2 linked regions of the Yarrowia lipolytica genome follow. The protein of the gene in region 1 purifies or fractionates together with the protein of each later gene. This does not show direct contact. Links are inferred from orthologs where the notes say so. Each region holds a gene or a part of one and is shown on either strand. Other genes may lie near its edges.

What was found.
Region 2: the proteins of YALI1_C28963g (region 1) and YALI1_E07040g purify together in Saccharomyces cerevisiae (affinity purification with mass spectrometry; 3 studies listed by BioGRID, with this or other methods). This does not show direct contact. The link is inferred for Yarrowia lipolytica from reciprocal best matches to the Saccharomyces cerevisiae genes MPH1 and MGM101.

The regions. Positions count from the first base shown.
Region 1 is NC_090772.1:2,894,565-2,899,742, forward strand, and holds YALI1_C28963g (uncharacterized protein), read left to right. Parts: upstream 1-1,760; coding exon 1,761-1,894; intron 1,895-1,939; coding exon 1,940-4,577; downstream 4,578-5,178. Other genes in the region: YALI1_C28997g (uncharacterized protein), read left to right, coding at 5,178-5,178. UniProt on the Saccharomyces cerevisiae protein: ATP-dependent DNA helicase involved in DNA damage repair by homologous recombination and in genome maintenance. Capable of unwinding D-loops. Plays a role in limiting crossover recombinants during mitotic DNA double-strand break (DSB) repair.
Region 2 is NC_090774.1:702,435-706,078, forward strand, and holds YALI1_E07040g (uncharacterized protein), read right to left. Parts: upstream 1,645-3,644; coding exon 775-1,644; downstream 1-774. Other genes in the region: YALI1_E07019g (uncharacterized protein), read left to right, coding at 1-592. UniProt on the Saccharomyces cerevisiae protein: Performs an essential function in the repair of oxidatively damaged mtDNA that is required for the maintenance of the mitochondrial genome. Binds to DNA.

The sequences.
Region 1 (5,178 bases):
AAATCGGCTTCTCAACGATTTATGGGACTTGGTCAATGTGTTGGTGGTATACCATAGATGTTGCCATGCGTTGCCATACGTTGACGGGTTCTAAGTGATTGGAGAATATTGTCAATTGTTGGTCTTCATGATCGGTCGAACTGCTCCAAAGGGAAGCTCATCAAGTCTGGTGCAGTTACACTCTCCCCTCCTTAAGAGACGTCCACGTCCTTCATGGATCATACGAGTCACGGGTCATAATTCAACCCATAATCCACATAACCAATCCCAGTGATACGAACTCCAACCATTCGAGTTCAACCGCTCACGGCAATATCTCAAACATCATGGAAGTCGAATCCAACATTTCATTGGTCTTACTTAGCGCTCGTCGCTTGGCCACTCATAGAATCCACATATCTTTCACTTGATTCTCATCTTTCCCAAGATCTCAATCAACGCCACAAACAGCATCATCAATACTGTGACACGTAATACTCGTTCACATTGTTCGTGTACTCTTCAGCATCATCTCTAGTCCCCAAAATCTCCAAAAATTTCAATCTGCTTTCCACCATCTGTTTGCTTCAAGCTTTCTGCAATCTCCGCTTTCCACTGTTTGCTTCAGGTTTTCAGCAATATCTGATCAGCCAATCGTTCACACTCTGCATCTTACTCTTTGCGTCCGCTTCAGTGATCACTCCGTAACTGTCTCCGTCGAATGCACTTTCGCTTTGTCGCTATCTCTATCCAAGGCTGCTAGTCTCAATACTGCGCTCCTGGCTCTGCTAATCTCAAGCTTCAATAATAAGCTGTTATCGGGCTCCCTGTGGGATCACCCCTCTGTCGTAAGTATTCTGGCGCGAGATTGTCTCCTCAGCGCCCTCGTCAAATACCACTTGTCTCGGCGTTACTCAGTACTTGCTTCTTCGAATCACGTCCAGTACATCCAGGCTTTCACAGATCTCCTCCTCAGTGGATCGTGATCTCACTCACCAACTTTCGTCGCCTCATTGCTCAAGCCGAACTCTTCATGCTCAGTTCCACAGATTCATCGTCCTGGCTCCATTATCTCCTCCGAGGGTTCCCAGTTATCATTAGCATTCCAACTGATCACCAGTGTACTCGCTTCCATTCTCTTCGCAAGTCCACAGCGTCGACCCATCCGTGTACCTCCTAACGTCGGTCCACTTCAGTGTCTCCTAGCAAGCCTCTCTCCACTCTTCTCGTGAAGGCTCGCAGATGCTTCTTTCCGAGCTCACTCGTTTCCTCGTTCGCTCATCCATAATCATCACGGTCGTTGGCAAGCCTCTTCGTGGCTTCCAATGGAGGCAGTTCTAAAGAAGTATGGCTAACTTATCTGACCCCTGAATTGGGTCCGATTTGAACCGCGATTTTGCTTCTCGCATTGTTAGATGCGAATACCAGAATGAATGTGAAACATGATTGTAGAGCTCTTCAAGTGCCATCATCGTGTCTGTTGATATGCCCTCACTGTTTGGGCTGCCCAATATGAATCCACTCATGCACTGTCGGTGATGGACTCAGACATAGTTTGAAGAGTGAGAAGTGCGTCCATTCAAATCACTGAACAAGTAATTGTACAGTAGATTCGTAAAACGCAATCTCCACCTCCAAATACCGCCCACCGATACTTGTAGTTACCATGCTGTTCTTGTACAAGAATCAACACGTACCTGAAGGCCAAACTTTAAGCAGGGGTGTTAATTACGAGTACGCGTTTCGCGGCGACAGTGGCAAAATCAACACTCACCAAACATATGCTGCTGGATGACCTGAGCGACAGCGAATTCGATGCGCTGCCCAAGAACAAGGCTCCAGCACTCCTGGACGACTCGGATCTCGACGATCTCGACGATCTCGACGATTTCGACTTCTCCACAGTGGTAAAAGAGTGAGTGTTCGAAACGCTTTTCAGAACGATTCAATACTAACCCAGACCAGCGAAACCAGTGACAAAGGAACAAACAGCTGTTCACAAGCCATCAACTGCTCAACAACAACCAACACCGGCTCGACAACAGCCGCTGGGACAGCAACCGCCGCGACAGCAACCTTCTGGACCACAACGAACTCAGCTACCCAGGTACAATGCTGATCCGGCAGAATCTACAAATACACCAGACATTGATCTGAACCTGACATACCCTCGACCAATGGACACAGCCTGTCACCATGAGACGACGGGTCTCACCGGATCTTTTCTGTACCCCTCAAATCTGCCGTTCCGAACTTACCAGCATACCATCATTCAATCTTGTCTGATTGAGAATACTCTCTGCTCTCTTCCCACCGGTCTAGGTAAGACCTTCATTGCGTCTGTGGTCATGCTCAACTTTTACCGATGGTTTAAAGATGCAAAGATCATTTTCATGGCGCCAACAAAGCCCCTCGTTTCACAGCAAATCGATGCCTGTCTTCGAATCACTGGTATCCCGAGGCACGACTGCAGTGTGCTGATGGGAGGAGTTAAACAGGCTGATAGAGCACATGAGTGGGCTAACAAACGTGTGTTTTTCGCCACTCCTCAGGTTGTGGAGCTCGATCTCGATGGTGAGATCTTGGACCCAAAGACGGTTTCCTTGTTGGTTGTCGACGAGGCACATCACACCAGTGGCAAATACTCGTACGGAATAGTGGTCAAGAAGCTGCTGGATGCACACCAAAGCTTCCGTGTTCTTGGCCTCACAGCCACTCCAGCTTCCAAGGTTGAAGGGGTGCAGTCTGTCGTGCAACATCTTCTAATTAGTCACTTGGAAGTCAAGGGAGAACAGGATCCAGATGTGCAGCAGTACATGCACAATCGAGAAGAGGTCAAGATCAACGTCGATCTGGGAAGCGATATTAATGAGTTGTTGGCTCTGACTGGGCAGGTACTCAAACCTACCTTGTCTATGATGGCCTCGAAGGGGGTGCTGCATAACACAGACATTGCAAAAATCTCACTGTTTGGCGTCAAGAAGGAGATAGAACGGTACATGTTTCGAACCAAATATCTCGGACCTGCTGCCCAGTACAAGTACCGAGGTATTGGAGCTGTAGTAGCCTCCATAGCCCATGCTACCCAGCTGTTGCAACACCAGGGAATCACGCAGTTCTACGACACCCTGAAGCGACGACACGACGAGGAAATGGCTCGAAAACAGCCTACAAAGTCATACGAACAGGTAGGGGATATTGGCTCAATTTTAGATGCCACCAAGACGATCATGAAAAAAGAAGGATACCTGGCTCATCCTAAGTTGAACTATCTCGGATCGGAGTTGAACGAGTTTTTCAGCAAGGCTCCCGAGGGAGCTAACACAGGTACATGCATCATTTTCGCGCGCTTCAGAAGTACTGTGAATGTGATCATGGAGTATCTGACCAAATTCCCACAGGTCAAGCCACATGAGTTCATTGGCCAGGCTCCTTCACGTGAAGAGGGAGGTGGACGGGGAATGACCCAAAAGAAACAACAAGAGGTTATTTCCAAGTTCCGAAAGGGCGTCTACAATACTCTGGTGGCTACTTCCATCGCTGAAGAAGGTCTCGATATCGGACAGGTTGATCTCATCATCTGCTACGACTCCAACGCTTCACCTATTACGTCTCTGCAGCGGATGGGACGAACAGGACGTTCCCGAGACGGTCGGGTAGTGCTTCTGATGACCGATAAGGAGATGGAGAACAATATCAAGTCGCGTGATAACTACAGCTACATTCAGCGTTTGATGGAAAAGGGGTCTCGTGTAAAGCTTTACCCTCCGAATCGTGTAATTCCCGGTGCCGCTACCGATCCTCCTCCTCCCCATTTCATGAAGCAAGTTATCTTACCAGGTGAGAACCAGGAGATTCTAGACAAAACCGACAAGGATCATCTGGAGCTCGCGGATGTGGTCGCCAAAGGTGACAAGGAGCTGCGTCTGAGGAAAGACAAGAACGGCCACTTCATTGTGCCTCAGAAGAGGAAGAAGAAGGTGTTGAAGATGCCAGAGAATGCGACTTTGGGGTTCATGACCGCTAAGGAGATGGCCATGAGAAGCAGCCAGTCCAGTAATGGTCAGAGCAGCCAAGACATACCTAACAGCCCTACCCCACCTACGAAGCGTACCAAAGTCGATGTTGATGAACTCGAAGCAGATCTCGATGAGGCCTTGGGCAACCGGTCTCATGATAGCCTGGCAGAAGACATTGAGGAGGAGCTAGAGCAGGAAGAGGTTCCTCAACATTTGCATGACTTGGTGGAATTGGACGATGAACGGGAGCAAGATATGAGCCTGGAAGAGTTCATCGGTGATGATGATTTCGATAAGGAGCTGGAGGATGTTCTGAACAGTAGTAAGTCTGGAGGAGGCCAGTCGATTAGTGAGGGTACACAGGGGACTACCAATGAGGTACAGACGACTACAGGTTCAGTACAGACCCAGGCGGTACCTGTGGAACAGAGACAGTCTCAACCATCTTCTGGAATACCACTGGCACCTGTCAAAATGACACCTGCACCACAACTGGCGGAATCTATCGACTCGTCGTCGTTTGACGATGAATTCTTCGATAGATTGGACGAAGCTCTGGCCAAGCCTGGAGACAAGTAATGATAGAGACGAAAGCACAAGTATGTATATACACGAATATTTATTGGTCATACTTGGTATTGTATCACACGACATTTTTGTAAGGAGGCGTTCAATTCTTCTTGCATGACAATAGACTCGAAAGACGGCGATCTTCGGGTCTTCCAACTCTAAGACGATGAGGGTATTCCAACGCAGCCATGGGGAGGTGACTCGCCATATCTGTAGAACATGTAAAACATATATTGAGGTATTATAAGAGCACACTAGATTTCCCCCTTTGGGGGGTCGTTAGCACATTTCTATGCAAGGTTACCTTCTGCTCCTCGACTGGTCTCATCGGCCATGCATATCTGCTGCCCAGAGCTTTCTGATTACGCACGGTTTCAGAAAAATATCGCCGCAATGTCGCTCAGATGACGCATGGATTGAGAGATAAAGCTCTGTTTTGGACAGTGTCGAATTCTGTTTTCCGGAAGCCATGCACAAGTTGTCTCAGAGACTGAAATTTTTGACTCCCATTTTTTAGATTTAGACTTGATCAAACTTCAATCAACTGTTTCGGACCCCCCAAACGTCGCCTGGAAACTCAGACCACACTCGACGACAAACCCCTCCCATA
Region 2 (3,644 bases), on another chromosome or scaffold:
CGTGGTCCCACAGTCCTACATGGACTCTGTGATGGGCTACATCAAGTCCAACAGCCCTGCCACAGGTGGCAAAATCACGCGGCTGTTCGACATGTACCGAGCGGCCGGAGCGGTTGGCGGTGCAGTAGGCTCTCGAGAGGTAACAGAGACCGTGGAGATCCCCTCGTCTCTGCCGCACTCCGAGCAGCTGGGTCTCATAGACAAGGAGCGCTCTAGACTACTGGCTGCTCTGTCGTCTCTTGATGCTCGTGGATCTTTGCTCAAGAGCGACACAAAGTCGAAATCGAATGCCTCGCTGGCTTCGGGTGTCAACATCACCGCCTCAGACTACTCTCCCTTGTTGGCCTCTTCTTCTGACACTGAATTTGACGTTGTCAAGTCGGAAGATGTGCTTGGACTTGATGGGAACGTGAAGGACGAACGTCCCAACTCAAGGGGCTGGTTCTGGCAGCGTCACTACTCCAAGGTTGGCGAGGCCAACAAGGCTGGCTACGAGAAACTCGTAGATCCCCCATCTGAGCCTCCTGTATCTGGGGCGAGTATGGCTCGAGAATCAGAGGAGGAGGAGCCTCTCATTCCCTCCAACCTGTAAGGGCATGGTACCTGCAGCTCCTTCCTAGCTGACTACCTTTGGTACAAGTAGCTCTCTTCCCAACTATCCCAACTCCGGCTAGTTCCAGCTATAGTTATATTTATCACGGACATTGTTGTAGTTATTGTCGCTGTCGTATCATTTGTATTCACCTCGTTCTAGTATCCGTCTATGTACATACACTACTCCTGGTAAGGGTAGGCTAGGGTCTCTCCCTTGAGCTTCCACAGCTTCTTCTTTCGCTTGTTGACAACATGTGTTCCCCACACCTCCTCGCAATGCTGGGCCTTGAACTTTCGGATGAACTTGGGCTCCCACAGCTCAGAAGCCACGCCCAGGTCCTTGCAGCATCGCATCATGGCGTTGGATTTGCATCCTTCAGAGGCAGTAGGAACGCCGTCTTCGTTAAAGTAGGTCTGTTCTCCTCGAGCCACAGACACAAGTCTCCCCTCGCAGATGAGACCGTATTCACGCGTCACAATCTTGTCAGTGACAACGGTGTCACTTCGGGGGGCCAGACCCCATCCTCCAGGTCCGAACGCCGCATTCAAAACACGTCGGTATTTGATTTCCGGCAGGTACAGCAGTCCGTCAGGGGTGATTTCGATGTCTTCGACTGTGAGAGGAGCCTGGAGAACCTGGGCGGCCTCCTTAGAGAAGGCTTGGGAGCCCAGACCCTGGAAAGACTGTTCCCAGTCGATTTCTCGCTGGTTCATATGCTGGAAGACGTTTGATTGGGCTCCCTCAGGATACTGGAAGGTGGGTGCTTGGTCAACTGTAGACGTGTCGACCTGGGGCATATCGTCGGCTTCGATAGGCTCAGCGGCAGGAGATGAAGCAGCAACAGGAGTCTTCTTGGTGGCGTTGCTCACAGAGGCGGTGGAAGCAGCAGAGGCAGCTTTTCGCCAGTACGAGGAGGCAGCAGGCTTTTTAGCAGGAGTAGCAGGAGCCGAAGTGGCGGAAGCCGCAGCGGGTTTGGTAGCAGCCGCAGCAGTTCGGTAACCCATGGCTCGAACGCCGCGCGCAACCACTAGCGCTACTGTAGGTCTCATTGTATCGTGATGTTGGTGTCAGTATGGAGCAGGTCCAGTTTACATTTCATTTTTCATGTCTGATACGGGTTAGGGTTTGTGTGTGTGAAACGTATGACTCAGATAACGTCTATTGGGCGCTAACGATGTGGGAACAGGTGCGAATATTTGGTTGCGTTTAGGATCTCAGAGTGGTTCTTCCTTATTCAGTTGTCGTCACCAAGCTCTGGTACAGTATCTATTACGATGATTGAGTCTATGGTTGCATACTACGCGCAACCAAGCAGCGGTTGGCAGGTAATATGAGTCTGAAGTAAGCAATGAAGATCTGAAATGATCCAAATAAGTAAGAATTTATTTCATGAATATCTCAGATAGACCTTATCAAAGAATAATGAGATCCTTGGGGTTATCACCACACATGCCTCATTTTGGTCCATGCGTTTGTCATGCACAGCCCATTCTGGAAGAAGAAATTGAGGTGCTTCTTTGGGTGGCAAAAAACTTTGTCCTCGGACGGTGATGCTGAGGAGATGATTGAAAGCAGAAGTGATCGAAGTCGGAGATCGAAACCGGAGAAGAAGATATACGAATCAAAATGGATGGCGCGTATAACTGGTAATTTCAATTTGCCCTGATATAAAAGCAGTCCGTGCAGACGACTCATATCAGCTATTCCAATAGCTGAATTGAATATCAGGGGGGTCTTCGATGGCTTCTCTCAGGAAGGCTACATATGTTTCCAAGCAGCCATTAGTCGGGATTTTGCTGCAGGCGAAGCAGATCCGGACTCCTTCCAATCTACCAATGCCTCCAGAGCAGATTTGGACAAGGTGAGCAAGAAGAGCAAGAAGACCAGAACTGAAGGTATGACCGCGAGCGCACTATGCACTATGTATGTACAGTATGGGATGACATAAACCACGAGTAAAGTATGTACAATAGGGAATGAAATGCGAGAATGTTCCATTATTCGCTCAAAGGTCCACAACTATTAGTTGCACATGATTTACTGTGAATCATGTTTCTACTGTTGAATTTTTTTTTCCATACAGCCTCATATGTCTTTTCGTCTCATCTCATATTTGGGGCTGATTTTAATTCTTACCTTAGCCGTAGCTATCGTCCTGAATAGTACATCGCCGTTCACGACAGTGCTTCACAATGAGAAAAACCAACAAAGACAACCCAGCCGCCACACAAAAACAAATGGCACAAAAACCTGCAACGCAAAAGTCTCCTCTCAAACCCACGCTTGAGCAAACAGAGCTGTACAGGTTATGCGAAGATCTACAGAAACAGTCGCCCTCAATGCTCCTTTCACTACCCTCTCTACCAGCGTTCATCCGCACTCTTCACGCAGAATTGGTAGCAAAGCGCTCTGAGAAGACTTCCAGCTCGTCAAAGTCGTACACAGATTCCCCAGTTCCATTCACGCCACCACCCAAGAGACGTCTCAGTGAGCACATGGTGAGCCCCAACATGAAGCTACACCGCTCAGACAGCTTCGATTACGACACCACGCCAACCAAAAAGAGAAAATCCATGTGAGACCTACCTCCTAAAAAGGGCTCTTCTGGCCAATCCTCGAATCCTAGTCGCCCGAGCCGTTATTTAGTGTGATCAAGCTTATGATGATCTTGCACTCCTGTAGTGGCCCGGCTTCGGCTCTGTTACCGGATTCAAACGCAAACGATACGAAATCACGGCAAACATACCAACACAGCTATCTGAAATCGCCTAACTTCTTGCAATATGAACGCCAGGTCCGGCAAAAATGCCCATTGCGCCCTCCGCAGTATGTACAGTAACATGCGGTTGTACACGCCGCAGGCATTATTTGGAATGGGGAAAATATCATGAAAAGTGTTGTATCTATCTCTTGTAGCAAGGCCCTCTTTCAACCACCCAGCAATTCTCGAATTACGTGAACTTGCTACAAGAACGGAACAATAAACGAAGTCCCTCTCAAATCTAACAAATAAGGTTTGATATGGAGATGTGGTCATACTGCAACCATG